Linked DNA regions of Lonchura striata. Each later gene encodes a partner of the first gene's protein in a complex. Links are inferred from orthologs where the notes say so. Each region holds a gene or a part of one and is shown on either strand. Other genes may lie near its edges. The genes, in order: KIF13B and ADAP1.

Region 1 (11,131 bases):
GATGCAGATCCCAGGGGATGCAGATCTCAGGGGATGCAGATCCCAGGGAATCCAGATCCCAGGGGATGCAGATCTCAGGGAATGCAGATCCCAGGGAATTCAGATCCCAGGGAATGCAGATCCCAGAGAATCCAGATCCCAGGGAATCCAGATCCCAGGTGATGCAGATCCCAGGGAATGCAGATCTCAGGGGATGCAGATCCCAGGGAATCCAGATCCCAGGGAATCCAGATCCCAGGGGATGCAGATCCCAGGGAATCCAGATCCCAGGGAATCCAGATCCCAGGGAATCTGTGCCCACAGGTGATGGATGCCCATTCTACAAGAGCAGGAGTACATCCCTGTGCCAGCTCTATCTTTAAAATCAGCAGGAAAAAAAAAACCCAAAAAATACAAACAAACAAAAAAACAACAAAAACAACCAAAAAAACCCACACACACACCAAAAAAAAAAAACAAAACAAAAAAAAAAAAAAAAAAAAAAAAAAACCACTAAACGAAGAGAGGAAAAGGGAACATTGCAATCAGAGCTGATTTTATTTTACTCCGCCGCCACCGGGTGTCACTCTTGCCTGGGAGTCAGAAAGGATTTTTTTTGGTGGCTGATAAAATCCTTTTTCATCAATAAAATCCTGCGGCTCCCACTGGTGACAGCATCACCCTCACTTATCACAAACTCACGGTTCCAAAATCGAATTACCGACTCATTAGATCTGGGGAGATCTGGAGCTGGCACTTTGGCCTGCGATGCTATTTGCAAAACGCATTAAATCATTTTCATCATTATTTGTGTAAATGCAGCTGGAAAATTTAGATCTGGGTTTAGATCAGGTGTCCGAGGGAAAGAGATGAGGAGAGAAAGTAGGGATGGGTGAAAAAGCCCAAAAATGAGGTTTCTGCAGGTGTCTCCTCAGCAGCAAGAATGTGATAGAGCAGATGAAGCTGTAACACCTTCCAGCCTTTGAAGTCAAGGCAGTTCAGGTCTCACGGATCCTGTGACTCAGAATTTGGAGGAGATAAAGGCTACAAACATTACACAACCCCCTAAATATGCATTCTTCAGAGTATTGGTGACTGCCTAGTGTTGAGGGGAGTTTGCTTTTCTCTGATAACAAACCTGTCTTGCAACAGCTAAACCTGCTCTCCTGCTAAACTTGGTATTTTTCGAGCTCTCTCGAGACTCTCTGTTTCCTCCTAGGACAGAAAATCTATTCTCTTCTCACACAGATGAAATCCAATGTGGGATCTTTGTCTGAGGAAGGAACCACTCCAATAAAATGCAACGTGACAGGTAAAACCAGTTGCTTTGGCACAGGCTGGATCAACAAACTGAGCAGCTGATAGGGAAAATAAAAATTTTTAGTCAACAAGAGGAGAAAATTCTCATTAGGGGCCTCATTCTAGCACATAAATTGCTGATAATACCTCACCAGAGGTAAAAATTGTGTTGAAATTCCACAATTAAAGCACAGCTATAATGAATTTCCCTTCCATAAACAGGCCATGGATGGGATTTATGGGGATATCAGAGCCTGGGATTCCCTCTGGGTAACATAAGAATAAGCATCACATCCTATAATGCCATAAAATTTATGGCCAAGACTTTGAACATTGGAATGACTTTTAAAAAGAGGGAGATGTCTATAAAAAGTTTGTTTGGTGGGGCTTCACTCATATTTTGCTGCAAGAAGACGTCAAAGATTCGTTTATTTATCTGGGGATTCTTTTCACAGTGAGGGCAGAAGGTCACACACAAATACCTTTAAAAATCCATCTCAGGATCAGTGTAATTCAGAGTTATGAATGGCCTTGGAAACGATCAATCCTTCAAATTTACCAAGTTCCAATGAAAATAATAAAGCACAGAAACTGCTTTGCAAAAATTGGGGTGAATCTCCTGAACCTGCACATTTGCACAACGTCTTGCATCAGAAACTTCAGCAATTCCTCTGGAAACAAATAAATAAATTTTTATAACAAGCAGAATTTTGACACAAATTATTTGGAAAAATCAATTTGCTGTTTTATCCAGATTTTTTTTTCACCTGTTCTTAATATTTGTTTTCCTTGACACTTTCTTTCTCTATTAAAGTAGAAATAAATTCATAACATGTCTTCTGCTTTCGCTTGTGCCTCCAAATTTCTAATTCCTTTATGATTTCTGGGCACAAAGAAGGTCTACAGCAAATCCATAATCGATGCTTCTCTTTCGTTGCGCAGCCGAACAAATGGAAAAGCGGATTTAAAACGCACTCGATTTAGTTGCTTGCTGTGGTTTGGATGAACGGACATCCAAAGGACTGTCACGCTTTCTGGCTTGCTCGGAGATAAAATTCTTTCTAGATGATCTGAGAGCTGAAACATGCCTACCTTCATCAAGATAAAAGCAAAAATTTCTTCTTCCCTGGCGGGCTGGTGATAACGCACGCCCCGGGCAGGACACGCGTAACCGTGTATTACTAAGTAAAAGTAATCAAATTTAATTGTCAAAAAAAAAAAAAAAAAAATATATATATATATATATATATTAAGATCCTGTTTTTTCTCGTCCACATCCCTGTTCAAGCCCTGCCTCAACCAGGTGGGCACAGCCATCACTGTGGCTCCTCAACCTGATGACAACAGCGTCGCATTCAGAAACTCGATAAATGAATGGGAGGGACAAGCAGTGCCTCCCCCCCCCCAAGGATGTTTTGTTAATTAAATTAGCATTTAAATAGGCAGAGCTAATCTGGGAAGTCAGCCCCTCATTACAGTAACTAGGAAGGGGGAAAAGAGCTGCAGACAATTCCCTACAAGATGGGGTTAAGTTGGCGTTTCACAAACTATTTGCCCGGCCTGTCCCTCCCAAGTGAAAGCTGCCACCCCCCCCTCTTTCCTCCCAGCATAATTAGCATCTTCCAGAGCTGTGAATGGAAACAATATCCTCCCTCCGAGCTGTGCCCCTCCAGGGAGATGCTTCCCACAGATTGTGGGACCCCGAGCCAGGGAAAGGGCTTGTGGAGGAATTCACAGTGGGGGAATGACACTGAGGCAGAGCTCGCTGCCAGTGCGAGAGGAGCTGCACCGCTGGAATTCAGCGCAGGAAGCAGGCTGGAGCATAAAGGGAAAGTCCAGAGGCAGGACTTGCAGAGAGCCATGAGAATTTATTGCTCCCGAGCAATAAATAATAATAAATAATAAATAATCCTCCCAAAGCGCCCATCCACAGCACCAAAATTGAGAAGGGTCTCTGCGCTCTAAGGGTGTCTCTGCCTTTGAAGAACTTGGCAGGAGTAGCAATGGTTATGTGTAAATATCGTTTCTCCTTGGCTATTAGAAGTGAAGGAAGGCTAAAAAAGTGATTTTTCAATTTTTAAAACGGATTTTTCATTCCGAGTAGAAAACTGGAGTAAAGCGTGCAAGACTTAAAACCCACCAGGGACCTCTTTGTATTGTAAATGCAGGCGAACCCAATGGGAAGAAATGAGGATGTCTGACTCAATTCAGAAGGCTGAATGATTTCTTTATTATAACTATGTTAAAATACATTAATATACTATATAAAAGGAGGATACTAAAACTATATATTACTTTCTCTGACTTTATTTCTAACTTTCCTACAACTTGTGACCCTCTCTCTCTTGAGTCCAGCCATAGGTGGATTGGATTGGCCATCAGGTTCAAACAATTCTCCAAACACATTCCACATAGGGAAAAACAAGGAGCAGAAATAAAATTCTTTTTCTCTTTCATTTCTTTCTGTACACCTCTATAAAAAATCCTGAGAGGGAGAGAAATGTGCTTACCACATCTTAGGATCAAATTCAAAAGTGGTGTGTGATCCTTCCCCTGTAAGATTCGCTGTTTAATTTTACCAAAGCCAGTGGTGACTGATACAGGAGAGGAGGTGCAGGAGGAAGGGCTGGCTTTGGGTGGCACCTGCCATCCCCAGCTGTGTTCACACCTGGCCACGGGCTTCACCCCATTCCTCTAAATCAAATTCCAGGTGACTCAGCCCGAGGTAAAAACCACCCACCCTCCACTCAGATGAAAAGTCAGCATGACATTTATCTCCACGGCCAAAGTGCTCGCTTTCAGAAAACCTTGGTGCGGTTTTGTCGAGGCCCCAGCTGGAAAATACCACAAGAAGTTCAAAGCTGGGTTTCATCCTGTAATTGGATCCTCAAGTTCACAAGTGCAGGGACCAACTGTGCAGGCTCAGAGTGGGAAGTCCCCTCTCACAGGGAACTGAGGGGCTGCAGGTTCTGCTGTTTTCTCCTGCTGCAGATAAAAACTCACTTTTTGCTTCAAGCTTTCACAATTCTGCTTGCTCTGACCTGTTATTTAATATTTTTTTTGTAGCTTCAAGACATCTGCCCAGCCCTCATGCTTGCTTGGGATGCTGTTAGGAACATGGACATTAATCCCAGTGTGATTTCAATGCCAACTTAATATTCGGTTTCTCTCTGCTTTGACAAGATATTCTTCAGGTCAGACATGAAATGATAAATGTTGAGTGCAGTTCTTCTGGGCAAAAAGTGCCACCTGCCAAAATTTTATCTCAAACCCACTTGGACATGTGTTATTTATTTCTTTCTGTCACAAAGCCTCATTCAATGTTGGAAAGCCAAAGAATTACAACTGAATTTTAGGGGGGAGGGGGTTTCTGTCCTTGCTGAAATCTGCCCTTTCAAAGCAACATTGAGAGAATCTTTGTTTTGAACTAAAATAGCAGCTGCAAAGGTTTTCAACCATGACCATTTAAATGAGGTTTGGGGGTGGTTTTTTTGCATCTTTGCATTTTAGTTTCGTTCTTGGTCTTTGCAATGTGATTGAGCAGTTGAGGGGAATATTGAGGATAAATTGTGATATTGTTCAGGCAGTGTCTGATTATTCCTGCTGAGGTTTTTACTAAGCTGCCTTCGGTGATACTGGACCCACCAGGGGTTGCTTTGTGAAACCAGATCCAGACAGGACCTGACCCATGGTCCTTACCTTGAGTTGTAGCTCATGATGGTTCTCTGGGGTCTTTGGCACAGGAAAAACGTGGAGCTGATGGAGTAAAAACAGAGGAGGCCACAGAAATGCTCTAAAGACTGGAGTTCCTCTGCTCTGGAGCCAGGCTGGGGGTGTTCACCTGGAGAAGAGAAGGATCCAGGGAGATCTCAGAGCTCCTTCCATGTCCTAAAGGGGCTCCAGGAGAGCTGGAGAGGGACTTGGGACAAGGGATGGAGGACAGAACACAGGGAATGGCTGCACACTGACAGAGGGCAGGGATAGATGGGGTATTGGGAAGGAATTCCTGCCTGTGAGGGTGGTGAGGCCCTGGCAGAGGTTGCCCAGAGAAGCTGTGGCTGCCCCTGGATCCCTGGAAGTGTCCAAGGCCAGGATGGGTCTTGGGGCGACCTGCAATAGTGGAAGGGGTTGCTTTGGACCGACATGAGCTTTTAATGTCCCCTCCAACACAAACCATTCTGTGATTTTGTGATCTTAAACCGATGTGACTTATAAAGTGATTTCTGATGGACAGAAACCCTGTGGAACACAGAGGAAATTCCAAGGTGAGGTGTGCAAGTTCCAGAGGCAATGCCGTTGTCTGCTCAACATGAAATACCTCAGTATTTCCCCAAAAGGAGGGAACTGAGATGTGATGGGCTTCCCTTCAGCCACCCGGGGTAGAGTGGCAGGGCCTGGGGTGATCCTGAGCTCCCTGCAGTCTATAAATCCATTTTGGCTGCTCCCCCTGACGAATCCCTCTATTCTGAAGGACTCCACATACAAGCATTCAGTGCCTGGCTCTCTCACTTCAGTATGGATATTGAGGGCCTGGAGCGTGTCCAGGGATGGGAACGGAGCTGGGGAAGGGGCTGGAGCACCAGGAGGGGCTGAGGGAGCTGGAAAGGGGCTCAGCCTGGAGAAAAGGAGGCTCAGGGGGGACCTTGTGGCTCTGCACAAGCCCTGACAGGAGGGGACAGCCAGGGGCAGGGTCAGGCTCTGCTCCCAGGGAACAGGGACAGGATGAGAGGGAATGGCCTCAAACTGTGCCAGGTTGGTCATTGGGAAGAATTTCTTAGCAGAAAATCTGGTGCCCAGGAAGTTCCACCTGAACATGAGGAAGAGCTTCTTTCCTGTGCAGTGACCGAACACTGGAACAGGTTGACCAGAAAGGGTGTGGAGTTTCCCCCACTGGAGGTGTTCCAGGACTGTCTGGATGCAATCCTGTGCTCTGTGCTCTGGGTTGACCCTGCCTGAGCAGAGGGGTTGGACCAGATGACCCGCTATGGTCACTTTTAGATTGACCAGTTCTGTGATTCTGTGCTTAGACATCGGAAGGGGCTTTTTTTGGAGTCCCAATTCTTGCAGGTGTCCAAGGAGCACCTGGACATAGCACTCAGTGCTCTGGTCTGGTGACAAGGCAGTGATGGATCACAGGTTGAACTGGATGATCGCAGAGGCCTTTCCCACATTAATTAATTCCATGATTCAGCCAGCCTGCTCCATTACCAAGCTGGAGGCGGGAGAAAAAACTACACCTCCCAGCGCGCATCGCGGCACCCCGCCGGGAGCTGAGGAGGCGTGGCGCTGCGCGATGCTCGCTGGGAGTTGTAGTCCGGCCGGCATTGGCCCGGCACGGCACCTCCCTCCCGGGCGCTCCTCCCCGCTCCGGCTCTCCCTCGGCAGACGGAAGCCGGGCAGGGACGGGGGAGCCGCGAAGGCTGGAGCGGCAGGATGGGGGACTCCAAAGTGAAGGTGGCGGTGCGTGTCCGCCCCATGAACCGGCGAGGTGAGACTCCGTGTTCTTGCTCAGCATCCCTCTCCCCTGTCCTTCCCGGGAGCGGCGCGGGGGTGCCGGTCCTTGGGGACAGGTGTCGGTCGGGACAGGTGTGTCCCGGTGCGGGTGAATGGGTGCGTGTCCGTGTGTGCTTCAGTGTTTACCGGGAATAAACACGGCCCGGGTGGGCACAGGCGGGCGGCCGCGCCGTGCTCGCCCCCCTCTCCCGAGATCCCTTTTCCCAAACCTGCCTGGGTTGATGGATTTATTTTGCCTCGTCCGCTCCCCCGGGCGAAAAAAAGCTCTCTCCGCACCTCCTGCACCTGCTCTACAGCCGGTTCCTGCTGGGACAGCGCTTCCTTCTTCCCGCTTTGCGGATTTGGGGGAAAATGCCTCTTTTTTCTGCATTTTGTCCCGTGCTAATTCACCCCGCTGCTCTCCAACCCTCGGGGCTTGAGTGGGACGCTGTTAACCAGATGACAGCGACACAAGGACAAAAAACAAGCAAGAAAAGACAGAAGAGGAAGCGAGAATTGACAAGAGAATTTTTGTTGTTGTGGTTTTTTGGGTTGTTGTTGGCTTTTTTTTTTTTCTTTCCCCTCGACGAAACTTGCCTAAGGGTTATGGTAATCAGACCGTGGTCTGGGCAGCTGTTTAAATGTTTATTACTTGTCTTAATTAGAAAAACTTGCTCTGGATGATGAGGAAGCAAGTATGAAAAGGCAGCTTCAGCCAAGGAATGGGAAGGTGAAGAAGGCAGAAATCCAAGAAAGTGTAGGATGGCGCTTTTTTTATCCCACATTCTCACAGGAGTATGCCAATAATTCCTTTTGGGGAATCCAGTGAAGTCAGTTTAGTAGCTGAAGCAAAAAAAAATGAGGGAGAGGGAAAGCCCTTTATTGCCTACACCATCTGACATATAATACCTTTTTAATTCCTTTCAGTGAAAAGGGGTTAAAACATTAAATGCAGTGATTCTATGCCTGTAAAACGGCAGCAGGGGAATGTTCACTGAGTTCACAGGAGCTCCTGGATCCCACTTCCAGCACAAGAGATGGAATTGATGCCTTTACAGTCTGGTGGCTTAGAGAAACTGAGGATATTTTGACCAAAAGCTTCATTTTGTTATACTTCAGGAGCCAGCTCTCAAAACAGAGCAGAATCCATCCTTAGAGAGAATTGGTTGGAGGAGATGGAGTGGCCGTGGAGGAGTTGGTGGGAGCTGGGAGAGGAGCTGGAAGGTGGTGCTGGGTGTTGGTGACAGATCTGGGCTCTTGCTCATGTCCCTTTCCTGACATAGGTCATTTCCTTGGCTCTGCCCCAGACGTCTCCTGGCTGCTTGATGTTCCTCACCCCCGGGATTAGACAATAATTCAGGCTGGAAGGGACCTCTGGAGCACGTCAGATGAGATGAGCTCGCACAGGGCCTCCATCAGTGAAGTTTGGATCTCCAGGGGTGACTAATGCACCTCTTCCTCCCACATGCATCCTCGGTCTGTTCAGCCCCGAGTTTGTCCATATGTCCCTTTCCAGCCAGGAACTGCTGGGAATCTAGAGGAAATCTAGATTGTATCTTAGTACTCTCTTTCATGGAATATTCTGAGTTGGAAGGGACCCACAAGTCCAAATTCTCTTTGTCTTTTATTCTGAATAAACTTGAAAATCTTATGGACAGGATGACACTTGTCAGGAAGCTCATCCAGGAGTGAGGGACATTTGAGTATCAGTCCTTGATGCTCATCAGAGAGAAGGAGGGCCTGAACCCCCCACTCTTGGCAGTTTGCTGCTATTAAATATCCTGTTACTTGTGAGTGATACCTAAATCCATTTAAGTCTATCCTAGAAGATTCATGTATTTTTCTCCCTCAACCAAAATGTCCTGGAAGTGTTTTTTTTTTTTTTTCCCCAGCAGATTATTTGTCACAGTCCAGATGTTTGGCTGGGTCTAAACAACTGATCCTCCCTATGGTATTTCTGATGCACCTTGAATTTGTAGAAACAGACAGTGGTATGAAGGCTACAGTTTTTCTTACCTATTTAAAGTTAAATTTAAGCATTTTTGCAACTGATTTTCTGAAGATTCATCCATTTGTAAGATTTCTGGGGCCTTGCTTTTTCTTAATTAAGTTTTGAGGCAAGAGACAGCTTTCCTGGAAGCTCTTCCATACACATTTTGTTCTGAGCACTATTTGTATGGAGCTCTGGGACTTTGGACGTGAAGCAAGTATTTGTTTTCTTCAGGATCACGAGTAATGTTCTTTCCTTCCCTCTGCACCGAAGGGCTTAACGTTACAAACCTGTCAGATGGCTGAGACTGTGGAAAGTTAAGCTTTGAAATATTCTCGGTGTTTACTTGTGGTGGTGGTGGTTGTCTTTGGTGTTCGAGTTATTAATTTCTTAAGGCAAGGGTTTATTAGGTTAATAAAAGTGGTGTGCTTAACTGTTAGGAGTTTTTACAGCTCATAAAAGTATAATGGATTCCTTGCCTGCATGTGGAAGGGATTTGTGTATCAAATAATTGGTTATTTATAGCACTCACATTTCAGGGTGTTTGGATTGAGGGTCTCGCTTCATTCTCATGCAGAGTGGTAATCCATAAATTCAGTTTATAGCACTAATTTTTAGTGAGAGGAAGTGTTTCTAATTGTACTTGGGTTTGGACTTTTTCTGCATCCAGGCTACTTCATTTTGTATCTTGCTTCAAATGAGACCTCAGTCCTACCAAGCCTGTGCTGAAGCTTTGCTTTTATAAAATTGCTGCTGTGTCCACACGTTCGCAGTGCCACGTCTGAAGCTGGAGGCTCTCCTGGGTGGCAACTGAGGCGTCTTTTTTTACATCCCTTCTACTTTGCAAACTGGGATCTCGATTAACAGGCTTTTATGAATTAAATAATTCAGTACTGCTTTGTTAGATAAGGCTCCTGGTCTTTTATTTTCTTGGCTCTGTAATTCACTAAAGTATTTCCTAGTGCACTGCGTTATTCAGATGAGGGTTTGATAACAATCAGGAAGTTCTTTTGGTGTTTTATTTAAGATTTGCAGTGGATTTCCTTTTGCAAGTGTCATGTTTGACTTCTTTTAGCAGATATTCATCATATTTCAGGTAAATGCAAATCTCAGGCCATACCATGAAGCAAAACAAATGACAGCTGAAGGCTTTTTAATTAAGAATTTTATGACTGAATGCTTTGTTTTCAGGTGATGTTTGGGTACAGGCTGTACATAAGTATATTAAGTCACTGTGTTTCCTTGTGTTTTTGAATCAGTTCAGTGTCGTGTTAATTAATGCTGACAAAAGTTGTTCTGTTTTAAAAGAACATGACTTGTGCTCAAGGATATTGCTTGACACTTAAGCCAGTCCAGACTGCTACATCTCCCTTGGGTCAATACTTTTTGAACAAGAAAGGCAGGAAAGCTACTGCCTGTATTCTGGCAATGCTGCCATGTTAAACTGTACTAGGATTGTAGTGTAAGACCTGCAGCTCCAGTTTAAATACCTGGGTTGCCTGTAAGTACACATTCAGGTATCTGTTGTGTTGATATGTATATTTATCCAGACTGTCAGTGTTGAAACAGGGATCTTCTCATGCTTTTATGCTGAAGATTCTGTTTCCAGTGCATGTGAGGAAGGAATTTGCTTCTGTATCTGTACAAGCTTCTGATCGCTGTGTCAGGTGGTAATTTTATGTCCTTCTATTCTTCTTGTAGGAGGTTTCATTTCCAGCTACTCGAAACGTTTTTGGGGTTTGAGGTGAGGAAGTGGGGGTTGTTCCTGTGCTCTTGTTTGTTTGTTTTGCCATGGAAATTACTACAGAGACAACTTATCTATAAACTGAAGTTTGTGCAAGCAGGTTTATAAGATTAATTACAGTATTAGAGGGCGTGAAGTGGCACCTGTTGTATCGTGATGGCAATGTGCAAACCACAAGGCTTTTCTTCACCATTATCCTTGTAAAGCACGACTGCCTGGAGTTTGGAATATTTCCTGGTGATGGTTGATAAGCTATAAAACTGTTTGGGCTACAAGCAGGATTAACCTTGAGATAAGGCGGCACATGGGTAAAAGATGCAGAGTTAATGTTTCATCTTGTGAGGCAATTGTATTTTAAGGGCTTCTGCAGCCTTACTCCTCCCCACAGCCAGAGACTCCCGGACATCCAGCGTGGATGCCACAAAGGAATTTTAGTGCTGATTGTACCTTCCAAGGAATTTTAGTGCTAATTGCACCCTCTGAGCTCCAAGTGCAAGGGGAGGTTCCCTTGCTGCTCTGGTTTCAGGCTGGCTGCTCCTCCTGAGGATCAGATACACCTGGAATAGCTCTGCCTTGGCTTTAGGGTGCTTGGTGGCTGAGCAAACTCTTGCATTTCATGCCTGTTA
Region 2 (11,039 bases), on another chromosome or scaffold:
GAGCAAGCACCAAGTGGGAAATCCCAGGGGTGTAATGAGGCTGGCTCCTTGCTGGGGGCTGAGGTTGCCTCCCTTGGCTTTTGCTCTTCAGTGCGGGGGTGGGAGTTAAGTTGTGCTGACTTCAACCCCTGGATTAGGCAGGTTGTCTTCAGCCTTGTCCTCACCACCCAGCCCATCCCCAGCACAGGCTCTGGGTGTGCCTGTTGTTTGGCACATCCCCCGTGTCCATGTGCGTGCTCAGAGTGGTTGCTAAGGCAGCACAAATTTCTCTGTGCTTTCCAATTTCTGTCTGATCCAGAGGTGTAGGTGTACTGCGTCCATGCAGCCTAATCCAGAGCAGGATCTGTGTGGGAGAGCAGGGCAGTGCCACGGATCAGGAGTGAACATTCTGTGTGCACAGACACCACTGGGAGCGGTGCAGGTGGGTGGGCTGTGGGGTTTATTTCATTTCCCCCAACCCCAAACTGCTGCAAAGTCTGGTGGAAAAGAGGGACTGGCCACTGCCAACAATGAGGAGGCAGCATGGAGGGGAACATTCTGGCAGGAGGTGCATCCTGACCTCGTGTGAGGGGAGATGCTCAGGCTGTGCATGGGCAGCACAGAGATGTTACACAACTGGGGCACTGCAGGGCTGTGCTGACAGGAGGTGCAAGTCCTGGTCAAACAGAGATGCTGAGTTCACTGGCTGTTGAAAAAGAACCAGGTAGGTGAAAAATGAGAGCGTGTCTGGAACATCTACTTCCACCCTTTTAAGCAGTCATGGCAGGAGACTTGCAGGTGTGGTGGTGCCAGCTAAGAAGGACTCATTTGAGCACAGAGATGTCTGGATTGATGGCTTTATTTCAGCTTATTTTAGCAAGTAATAGGCAGGGGGGTGATGTTTATCACTGAAACTGGAGCTGGCTGTACTTTAGATCACAGCTCTAATCGGCTGGACTGACTGGGACAGTAAATCACTTCAGCAGCACTAATAACACAGGGTGATGGGTGTAGTAAACCCTCTATAGCAGCAATAACCTGGTCCTGCTGGTTCTTTCACTCAGGTTGGTGCTTCTGCTCTGGTTTGTTTATTAAAGCTCCTTCACAAAAGTCACCTGGGTGACTGCTCCGACTCAGCCATTGAAATGGCTGCTCTCCTGCCATTCCCCAACCTGGCTTGGGCTCTTTTTATACCCTGCTATAAAACTGTTTATTTTTGCACCTGTTTAGAAAGGCTTTTTGGCCACAGGGGTCTCATGATGTTGTTTTCATGGCTTCTGGAGCAGGGCTGCTCTGTTGTTGCTAGAAATAATTACTGTTAATTAATTCTTTGCTGATTTTTCTTTGGCAAAGCATACTGAAATAAACAGATAAATGAGCAGCATGCTCTGTATCTCAACGTTGTGGGAGCTTTTAGGAGGCATACAGTGACATCCAAATGATCCCATCAGCAGCCAGAGGAAGGGTGGGACATGGCCCTCAACTTTGTGTGGACAAAGTTAATTGGGGGGAGGCTGAATTACCATCTCCAGCTGTTTGGCAGCTCTCTTCAGGCTATCATTTTTAATCTCTTTCTAGAGAAAAACCACAGTTTTGTTTCCATCTACTACTTCATTCAAATCACAGCTGAGCAGTGCTACAGAAGGGGATGTGCTCTCAGCTGCCTGAGCTGGACCAGCAGTCTGTGACACGAGACTGACCACTGGGGCCCATAACTGCACTGATTTCTCCCTTCTTCTACGGCCTTTTGAAATGGTTTATCTTTTTTCTTCTGAGGAACTCAGGCTCTGCTGCAGAGACTTCCAGACCAGAAGTGAAGTGCTGGGCTTGCCCCCTGTCCTGTGGCCCTGCCTGTAGCACCACCATCCTCTCTGCTCTGTGTCCCTGGCTGGGCAGCCCCTGGCTCCAGCACCCAGGGCTGGCAGCAGGTGGGTGGGTCACTTCAAGACATCACACAGCTCTGTCTCCTGCTTGAATGTCTCCAAGCTGTTCCTGGAAGGATGAGCCATCTGAGCCAGGAAGAGATTAGCTTATTGAAATAGAGCAAAGGCAATCTCCACGATAAGTGCTGCCCTGCTGTTTGCACACCGAGCCCGTCCTGCTGTGTCTCTGACTCACACTGAACTGATGACGTCCTGCTCTGAATAATCACTTTGACTATTTTTTGGAGGAGCTGAGTCCCTGATGTATGAGTGTCATCACACACAGGTTGGCTTTCTCCATGCAGAGATTCCACAGGCCTCAGCCTCTCAATTAGGGTAAATCAGGAATAATGCTGAAAGCAGTGGTCTGCCACAGACATAGGTGAGCTGTTGACTTCCTTGGACTAATTTCATCTCCTCTGTGCGCAGAAAAGAGCCAGTCATTGGACAGTAGAAATCAGCTGCAGCTGCCATGGAGCCAATTCCCTCAGCTGCCCCCTCCATGTCATATTTCACATCATAGGAAATGGGTTTGGTGCAACAACAGGACTATTGCAGAGCTGTTTTTCTTACACTGAGATTTCCCCAGGTGCCATGGAGCAGACATACAAATATTCACCATCTTCAAGCCATCAATTAACCCCCCCCCTCTCTCTCAGACATATTTTGGCTCCCAACCACGCTGTCTGAGCAACTAAGCAGCCCCTGTAACCACGTACTGACCCCCAAACCAGCCCAATGCTGGCCAGAGGCAGGCAGAAAAGAAACTGAAAGAGTGTCCTGAGCACATGACAGGCTTGTGGTTGGAGAAGTTTTGTGGCAGCATGGCTGTGAGAGAGCAGTGATCAGCTCTGGGGTGTTGCAGAAATCTAAAAAAGGAGATTTTGGTCTGAACACCCCCCCCCCCCCCCCCCTCCTTTGCCCTTATTCTCCCCTGTTCTGCTTCCCTACAAAGGATCTCTGTGGTCTGGTTTGCATGGTGGTAACTGCATGACTGTTCAATCATGGGAGCAAAGGATTCCCCTTTTTTCACACTGGTGACACTGGGCTGCAATAGAATTAACTACTATGCAAATGGAAAGAAACCCTGATCTACAGATCACTCTGCAGTGAGACACTTTTAAACCTGCACAACACTTTTTCTTCTTTGAGGGCTGCTGCAGGTGCAGAGCAGCTCTGCAGACACAGGACATCACAGTTCTTTTTATACCCTCACATAATTTCTCCTGCATTATCCTCTTCAACTCAATCCACACATCCTAACCACACAGATGCTGTGAGTGGGCTTTTCCCTGTGCCACACACACAAAAAAATCTCACAGGCTCCCTACAGCAATTTGCTCAAAATAAGAGAAAGTTGGCATCAGTATTGGATTTTTGGTTCAAGCATTTTTAAACTGCCCTGCTCTGAGCTCTCTGCTCTGTGGCATTCCTCCCTCCCAGCTATACCCACTCTTGATTTAACTGGATAACCCAGAAAACTCTTTATTTTTTACAAGAAAAAAACTCTAGGATTGGTTTCTTCCTTTTTTCTTTTTCTTTTGAACAGGAAACCAATACTGCAACGGAAATGAGCTGGTGCTTATTTAACATAGGTGCTGGTGCCAGTACTGCAGCTTGTTCACACAAACCTCCAGCTGCAAGAGCTGCCTCCCCTGTGGTGCTGAGGAAGCCTATGGAATCCTGCCTGGTGTATCTGCTACTCCAGAGTTTTGCTTGAATGCAGTGGCATGAATTATTGATATTTCTGTTCAGGTTTGCTGTTCACGCAGGAATTTGTAATGCTTCCCCACGTTGTGCTGTGAATGCGCTCCCGGGTCACATCAAGGGTTGTGTTTAACACCCTTTTACTTGCATGGTTGTGACATTGATTTATCCATTTCAGGGCTAGGGCTTCGAAATTAACTAAACCCCAGAGAAAACAGCCCTTTCCTAACAAAAGGCAGTCTGGGGTGAAAGGAGCTGATAAGGAAGGGCAAGGAGAACGTATAATGATGTCTGTGCATTTTCAGGGCGTCACCACAAAGATGATGGAAAGGTTTCCAGGAATTTCTGGGTGTTCTTTGCTCTGACCTCAGTATCTGGCATTTCCAGGGGCTGCCCTTGCTTAGCACCTCAGGAGATGGCATTAATAATGTCCGTTTCTAAGGCAACAACCTTGTGACTTGGAAAAGACTGAGTTGAAAGTGTGTGTGTTTACAAACAAACACATCTTACACATAAATATGTAAGGATTTACATACATATGGATATGAATTTATGCCAGACCTCCAAGTCACTTAGCAGTGGAGAGACAGGAAGCATCTGAATGAGGGTGATGTACTGACAGCAACGACAACCTATCTCCAGAGAGTTTGGTCAGAGATTTCACAAGAAGTAGGAGCAAATTCATTTAGGCACCCCCTGAAAGGTGCTACCCACGGAAAAAGTGTGGGCAAGCTCAGAGGAGGGAACAGTGTGACATGGACAAGCCTGAGCAGCGATGCCCATCAGCCTTCTCTAGCCCTGCAGGAGCAACCTTTGCTCTTTACCCCGTGTGAGATATAAATTCAGATGCAGTCCCTGGTCTACGCCAGGAATCACACTCCTCAGGAGTCAATGTCCATCAGGAGAACCTCGGTGCCTGCCCTGGATCAACACTGGGGCAATACCCAACCTCTTAACCTCAGGTAAACCAGGAGTAAATTTACAGAGATACCCTTGTATATGTGAGGTCGGCTCAAGCCTTTGATTTTCCATTGAACAAAAGTTTATCTTCATTTCTGGCTTATTTAGTTCTAACTTTTCTCCCTGACTCTCCACATTCCCTCCACCCACAGGGGCTGTTTGTTTCCCCGTGTGGAGTCTGGAGTAATTGTGATGAGATTTAAATGCTGAGGATGCTGCTGATCGACCCTTGCTGGCCCTGCTCTGCCTGTCCTTTATGAAACTCTCCCCTCTCATCATTGACAACAGGCTCTGTTTTATTTGATTTTATTACAAGATATAAATTTCTGTCTGCAGCCCTGGCTTCCAGCACACGGAGGAGAGAGAGGAATCGCCTAGCAACCAGGGGAACAAAAAATTAAGAGAATCAATAAGTCTTAATGGAAAGCTAAACAGAGACTTTCAAAGCAAACCCTCTCCCTGCTCCCAGCCCCGGCCCGTGGTAAGCCCATGACGATGTGCAGCATCCTGGCTATTGCATGGAGCATTCAGCAAATGCCTCTTCTGGAAAAGCCAAAGTGCAAATGAAAACCTGGCCTAACGTGGGCTTAGGTAAAGCTCTGAGCCTGTGGCATTGACACTGTCAAGCTTGAACACAGCACAGGTGTGGGGGGTTAAGGTACTCTGCTGAGCTGGTTTCACTCTGAGGGTGTTAGAAGTCAGTGCTCCAGGTAAGTGTCAGTGACTCAGAGCCTGAAGAAGGTGAGGGTCTGGATGCAGCAGCTGTTTCCCCACAAAAGGTCTGTTTGGAGGATTATGCCTTTGGTTAGGATGGGACTGAGTTTCCAGACGTTATCAAGCTATGTGTGTAAAACCAGCAAGCCCAGCACGATGTGTGACACTGGGTTGAGTCAGCAAGGAACAGTGCAGCATCCAGTTAAAAACAGAAATAAACCTGGATACAGTCACCTGTCTGGCAGCACAAATGTAAAGGTTATTTAGGAAAATGTATTCCAGGCAAAGGGAGCATTATAAATGTACCAGGCCATGACTCTGCCTGTATTTAAGGGTCTATTTTCTCTTACAAAGTGTTCTCAGGAACCTGCTTGCATGCTCATGTTTGCAGGATCAAGATGGTGGTTTGGTTGTGGAAGTTTTCCAGGAGCTACTGGCAGCCTCCTCCTGCAGATGTTTGTGCACACCCCGAATCTCATGGGCAGCATGGATAGCATGAGCTGAGCTTGCAGGAGGGCTCTGCTTTGTTGGAGAAAACAGAGTTGGATGATTTAAATGGGGACCTGCTTTGCAAAACCAAGATTGTTTTTGTAAGCAGAGATTTGTGAACCAAAAACAGGACATTGCAGCATCACAGGTGACCCATACATGATAAAAAGGTTTCAGCAGGGGTTAAGGAGGCACAGCTCCGAACCTTTCCTTGGCCAGAAGATCCTCACATCCTGCCCAAGTGACACATTAGTCTTTGACTGGCAAAACAAGTCTTGTCCCATAGATGGCATGAGATGGACAGGCATGATGGCACAGGGATGTTTTCCCCCCTGACACCATGGAGGTGTGAAAAATGTGGGAAGACATTGGAGCACAGTCCTGCCAGGACACAGACATGGCAGCTGGTGGTGATGTGCAAGGACATCAGTGAAGGAGGAGCGGTTTTGGAGTGCGCGGGGCTACTGATGAGACCTTCAGAAAAGGTGATCCCCAAAGCTGAGCCCCAAAAGCTGCTGATGTTCGAGGGGCATCCCGAACGTGCTGCTCACGAACCTGCCAAGCTGCTTGTGTGGCAGGGCCCCGGCCGGGGAGAGCTTGGGGTCGCTGCCAGCCGCCGCCTCGCACAGAAGATCCACCGGCGACAGCATCCCTTCCGCGGGCAGGAGTTAAAGCAGGAGAGGTATCCCCGAAGGACGGGACGCCCCGAAGGTCGGCGACCCCTCGGGGGCAGCGCCGCCCGGGTGGCCGCTGGAGGGCGCGGGGCTCCGGCAGCGCCGCTGAGCGCGGAACCGGCGGCACCGGCGGGAGGCACCGGGGCGGGCAGGGCAGCACCGGGGCGGGCAGGGCAGCACCGGGCAGGGCAGGGCAGCACCGGGGCGGGCAGGGCAGCACCGCCCCGGCGGCCGGAGGCGCGCTCGGCGTGCGCGGGGCGAGCGGGGCCGAATGGAGCCGCCCGGGCGCCGCCCGCCTCGCCAGCGCCCCCCGCCCGCGCCATGAGGCTGCCGTAGCGCCGCGGACCGAGCGCAGCCCCGGCAGCCGCCCCCATGGCGAAGGAGAGGAGCAGGAAGGCGCTGGTGGAGCTGCTCCAGCGGCCGGGGAACGCGGCGTGCGCCGACTGCGCCGCGCCGGGTAAGGGCAGGGGAGGCGGGGGGCGCGGGCGGCGGCTGCACCTGCACCTGTCCGCACGGCACGGCACGGCACGGCACGGCACGGCACGGCACGGCACGGCACGGTACGGTACGGTGCAGCACCGCACGGTACCGCTCGGCTCGGCTCGGCAGAGACCGGGCGCGGGGCTCTGCCCGCTCCGGACCGCCGGGGGTCGCGCCCCGCCGAGGGTGTGCCCGACCCCCTCCCCGCCCGGGGGATGCAGCGGGGATGCTCCGGGGCTGCTGGAGGGATGCGCTGCGCTGCCGCGGTCCCCGCGGACCAGCCCCAGCCCGGGTTTCCCCAGTTTCCCCCGGCCCGGCCCGGCTCCTCGCCCGGCCGTGAGCGCTGATGTCATCCCGGCGGGTCCCCGCGGGCTGCAGCGCAGCCGGGGCCGGTCGCCGGGCGGGGGGCTCTGCCGGGGCGCCCTGCCTGCGGGGCGTCCTCCGTGTCCCCGAGGCTGCTCCTGCCCTGTCACTGAGCAAACACATGGGGACGAGCGGCGGCAGCGCTGCGGACATCGTGGCCAACAACCTTTGCCCAGCTGCCATCGATGGGTGCCTGCGCGGGGAGCGGGGCTGGAATGCCTGTAGACGTTTTCGTGTGCGGTGGGGAGAAAATCTGGGCTGGGAATGTCTTATTCGCCTTTTGGATGGTGAATTTTTGGAGTCGGGCCGTGATGCTGTTGCTGAGCAGAGTCTGCATGGGGCGGTGGGATCTGTCTTTGAGAACAGCCTTAGAAAAATTGCAGAGCAAGTAACTTTCCTGTTTTTAAAAAGAAAAAAAAAATCACCATACAGAAAAACCTACATTTATATTAGCTCGAGCAGACTGGCTCTGAGGAGGGATGTAGAAAGGATGTCCTTCTCAGCCTCTGTCATTTTATAGGTTAAAGAATAACCCAGCACTTCAGCTGAGCCCTATTTTCCCAGCTATTGATTTGTTCAGGATGTCAAGATCTATTGGATACCGCTATCCAGCTCATACCATTCCCGGTGGTTTTATATGCCTGATCTGCATCCCAGGACACTGCAGTTCACTTTCAGATGCGTTGTGTCCTCCGGTACCCAGCTGGAAAGGACAAAGAACTTCGGGCACAGCGTGAGAGGCTTTGCAGCGCCGCGCTGCTCTGCCGGCTCCCACCCATCTGCTGCCGGCTGGTGCTGACTGTACCAGCCCACCTCGCTGAGCTTGGGCTCCCCGTGTAGGTGTCCGCCTAAATTGTTCCTTCCTGGAGAAAACTTTACAAACCTGGGCCCTTCAGATCAGCAGGGTGATTCTCCCTCACCCTGTGGGTATAAAACATAAAGCCCCCAGGCAAAATGGGAAGCTTCTCAGCGTCACCAGGGTGGAGATGGAGCTGTAGGTCAATAAAATAGCTCATATCAGGATAAGAAGCTTGTTGTTAAAGGCACAGAAAGGGCTTGTAAAACAACAAAACCATACTTTGGTTTTGGTGACATTTGCATACAGAGATGTCTTAGTGAATCTGAAAGTCAGAGAGGAGAATTTGGGCCAGTGTCTTTTGTAAGTCAAGATCTGCTATATTAATATCATTCTACCTCTTCTGAACCCTCATGGCATTATTTCCTTAGGACCACCCTCCTGTTCAACCCAATTCCTTTAGTGACTACTTTGCTTCAGTTTCTTTGGCAAAGTAGAGCTATTCATGGTGCTCGTCTGCCTGGGAGTGACAATAAACTTGAGATGCCCTGGGCTACTTAACATAAGATAATCACTTGTGTCTGTAGGTAGTATAGAAAATACTCGGCCTGAATTCAGTTATTCAGTCTGGGCAGGTGTGGCAGGCCAGCTCTTTTTGGGGATGAGGTAATGCAGCAGATGCAGGATAAGTGTCCAGAGAGCCTCCAGAAAGGGGTGCAAGAATGTTCTTTGCTGAGAAGTGGGATGCACAAAAAGATAAAGGTGACAGCTGGAACCGGGTGGGCAGCTGACACTGGAAAAGTACCAAAGCAGAGAAAATGAAGTGAAAAGGAAGAGGGAGGCTGTGGAATGAACAGAAGATGAGGGAAGCAGGGCAGACTTGTGCTTTACCACATGTGAGTATCATGGTAGGGCTGATCTGGTACAGCTGGGGGGAAACCAAAGATTCGGATTTGTTATTGCTGTTTCTCAGGTGGGTGAGTGCCTTTCCCTGAAATACTCTGTTAATACAGGATCCAAGATAAGAGGGAGCCATTTAGCTCAGGGATGCTCATAACAAAGAACAGGATGGGTTGGAAATGTAACAGGGGAAAATTCTGTCACTTTAATTTGTGTATTTGGAAGCCAGCTGGGTTTTCTTTTTCTTTTGGAAATATTTGTTTGAGAAATCAACCAGACGGTGAAAGTTTGTTTGTTTTTTTCCTTCCTGCTGTAAAAAGGGTTATTTTCTTTTGTTACTTTTTTGGCATTTGGGAGAGGCTCAGCAGCCAGAGCCCCACAGCTTGTCGCAGGTATTCTGTGTCCTGTCACAAACCCCTGGTGCAATGGAGCTCTCAGCTTGGCATCCCTGGGCTAAGCTGTGACCATACAAAGTCAAAGCTGGGGACAGACATGGGGCATCTGGGGAAGCTTTTCCTCCTGGGTAGGGTAAATAACTTCATCCCCTGCAGGATCAGCCCATCTCCTTGGGGACATCTGGGCACAACCTGCTGCTTGCCTGGGGCTGGGCCAGAATTTGCCACTGAATCATGACTGAGGATTATTGAAGTGCCCAAGTAAGGCTCTGCTGTTCAAGGTGTGTTTCCCTGGTGTGTGCACAGGATGTGCCCACTTGCACCTGGGTGGAATGGGGTACTAAATGTGGTGCTCAGCAAGGTCAGGTCTGGCTCTTCCCCAGGACCTGTGCGTATGTCTGGCAAAAAAAAAAATCTCTTTTGCAAACAGATTTTTGGGGATGTCTCAGGTGGAGAGAACAGTCTGGCCATGGCAGCTGAGAATGCAGAAAGGATGCTAAAGTAGAAAGTGAAAATCAGAGTGTAAAATCACTGAGAGATTACAGTTTTCACTTTTTTGTGTTTGGTGTTTGGAAATTATTTTTTTAGGTTTTTATTAATTGCGTTTTTATAAAACCTTAAATTGCAATGAGAGGTTGTTTTGAATAAAAGGTGTTTCAGTTGCAAAAAATGTCATCGATCTGTAATGCATAATGAGACTGCCTTGGTTACATCCTTGGGACTGAATTCTGGGGCAGGAGCCACTAATAAAGTCATTAGATGGGGCTTTGGGTCCTCTGTCATTGCACACTTCTGTGTCCTGGCTGTTGTGTTTTTTGTGGGTTTAAAGCTGTGCTGTCTCAGTGAAGACAGCATGGTAAATGCAGTCTTAAGTGCAAACTGAGCAATGTTACTGAATTGCTGGTGTGTAATGGCTCTCTGTGCATTAGAATAATCTTTTTTTCTCCAAGACTAATGTGGCAGTTCAGCCTTTTCTTTTTTCTAAATGATTCTTTGTCTCAGGCAATCTTTCCTCACATCATAAGACGGATGGTTATCTCAGGGCATAACAAGACCTTGAGTATTTCTCTCTTTATTTTTCTATGACTTAGGCTCGTGTTTCCATGGAGTGAGAATTATTTTACATTGTAGGAGGACAGAGAGGCTCTGAAGACAGAAATGGAAATCCCATCAAAGCAATCCTGCAGTTTAAACCCTCCAGCAGCAGTTTACATGGCTTGTTATCATTTTATCTTTGTTATTTGGGATGGATTACTGAGACATGGATCCTGGCTAACACTGGCCTCTGTGCCTGAAGCCCAGGGAGGGGTGAAGGATGGAGGAAGAGCAGAAGGCTCATGCTGGAGGCTCATGGAGCTCTGCTGCTCTAATGGTGTGAAACGAGATTTTCTTCCAGCTCCAAGTGGAAACTTGTTTCTGTACCTCCATTGCCCTCTCACTTAAATACTGATTTTTTAAAAATTATTATTATTTGGTGTCCCTGAGAATTGGCCAGCCTTTCTCCCCAGCTGTAAGCAGAGGAGTAAGAAGGAAAAAAAAATCCCACAGCAGTTGTGTTTAGCTCAATGCCACTTTCTGCAGGAAAAAGGGCTTTTTGAAACAAAGGAGGTTTAATGTGATGGTGGTTTTTGTCCTGTCCTGGTGCCTGGGCTGCAGCACA

What was found.
Region 2: the proteins of KIF13B (region 1) and ADAP1 are in contact, whole or in part, in a crystal structure (PDB 3MDB), measured with the Homo sapiens proteins. The link is inferred for Lonchura striata from reciprocal best matches to the Homo sapiens genes KIF13B and ADAP1. Residues at the interface, in NP_056069.2 of Homo sapiens: Val451, Asn452, Leu453, Asn454, Ala455, Asp456, Pro457, Leu463, Arg512, Phe514, Asn516, Gly517, Arg531, Leu533, Asn536, Asn537, Phe539; in NP_006860.2 of Homo sapiens: Trp137, Asn143, Gly144, Gln145, Phe146, Leu147, Pro186, Ala187, Lys188, Ile189, Gly190, His191, Pro192, His193, Tyr211, Glu213.

What each region holds. Positions count from the first base shown.
Region 1 is NC_134605.1:111,665,405-111,676,535, forward strand, and holds the start of KIF13B (kinesin-like protein KIF13B), read left to right. Parts: upstream 1-6,659; 5' UTR 6,660-6,711; coding exon 6,712-6,766; intron 6,767-11,131. UniProt on the Homo sapiens protein: Involved in reorganization of the cortical cytoskeleton. Regulates axon formation by promoting the formation of extra axons. May be functionally important for the intracellular trafficking of MAGUKs and associated protein complexes.
Region 2 is NC_134618.1:12,423,457-12,434,495, reverse strand, and holds the start of ADAP1 (arf-GAP with dual PH domain-containing protein 1), read left to right. Parts: upstream 1-6,732; 5' UTR 6,733-6,817; coding exon 6,818-6,902; intron 6,903-8,534; exon of another isoform or gene 8,535-8,980; intron 8,981-11,039. UniProt on the Homo sapiens protein: GTPase-activating protein for the ADP ribosylation factor family. Binds phosphatidylinositol 3,4,5-trisphosphate (PtdInsP3) and inositol 1,3,4,5-tetrakisphosphate (InsP4). Regulates the incorporation of CD63 and CD9 into multivesicular bodies.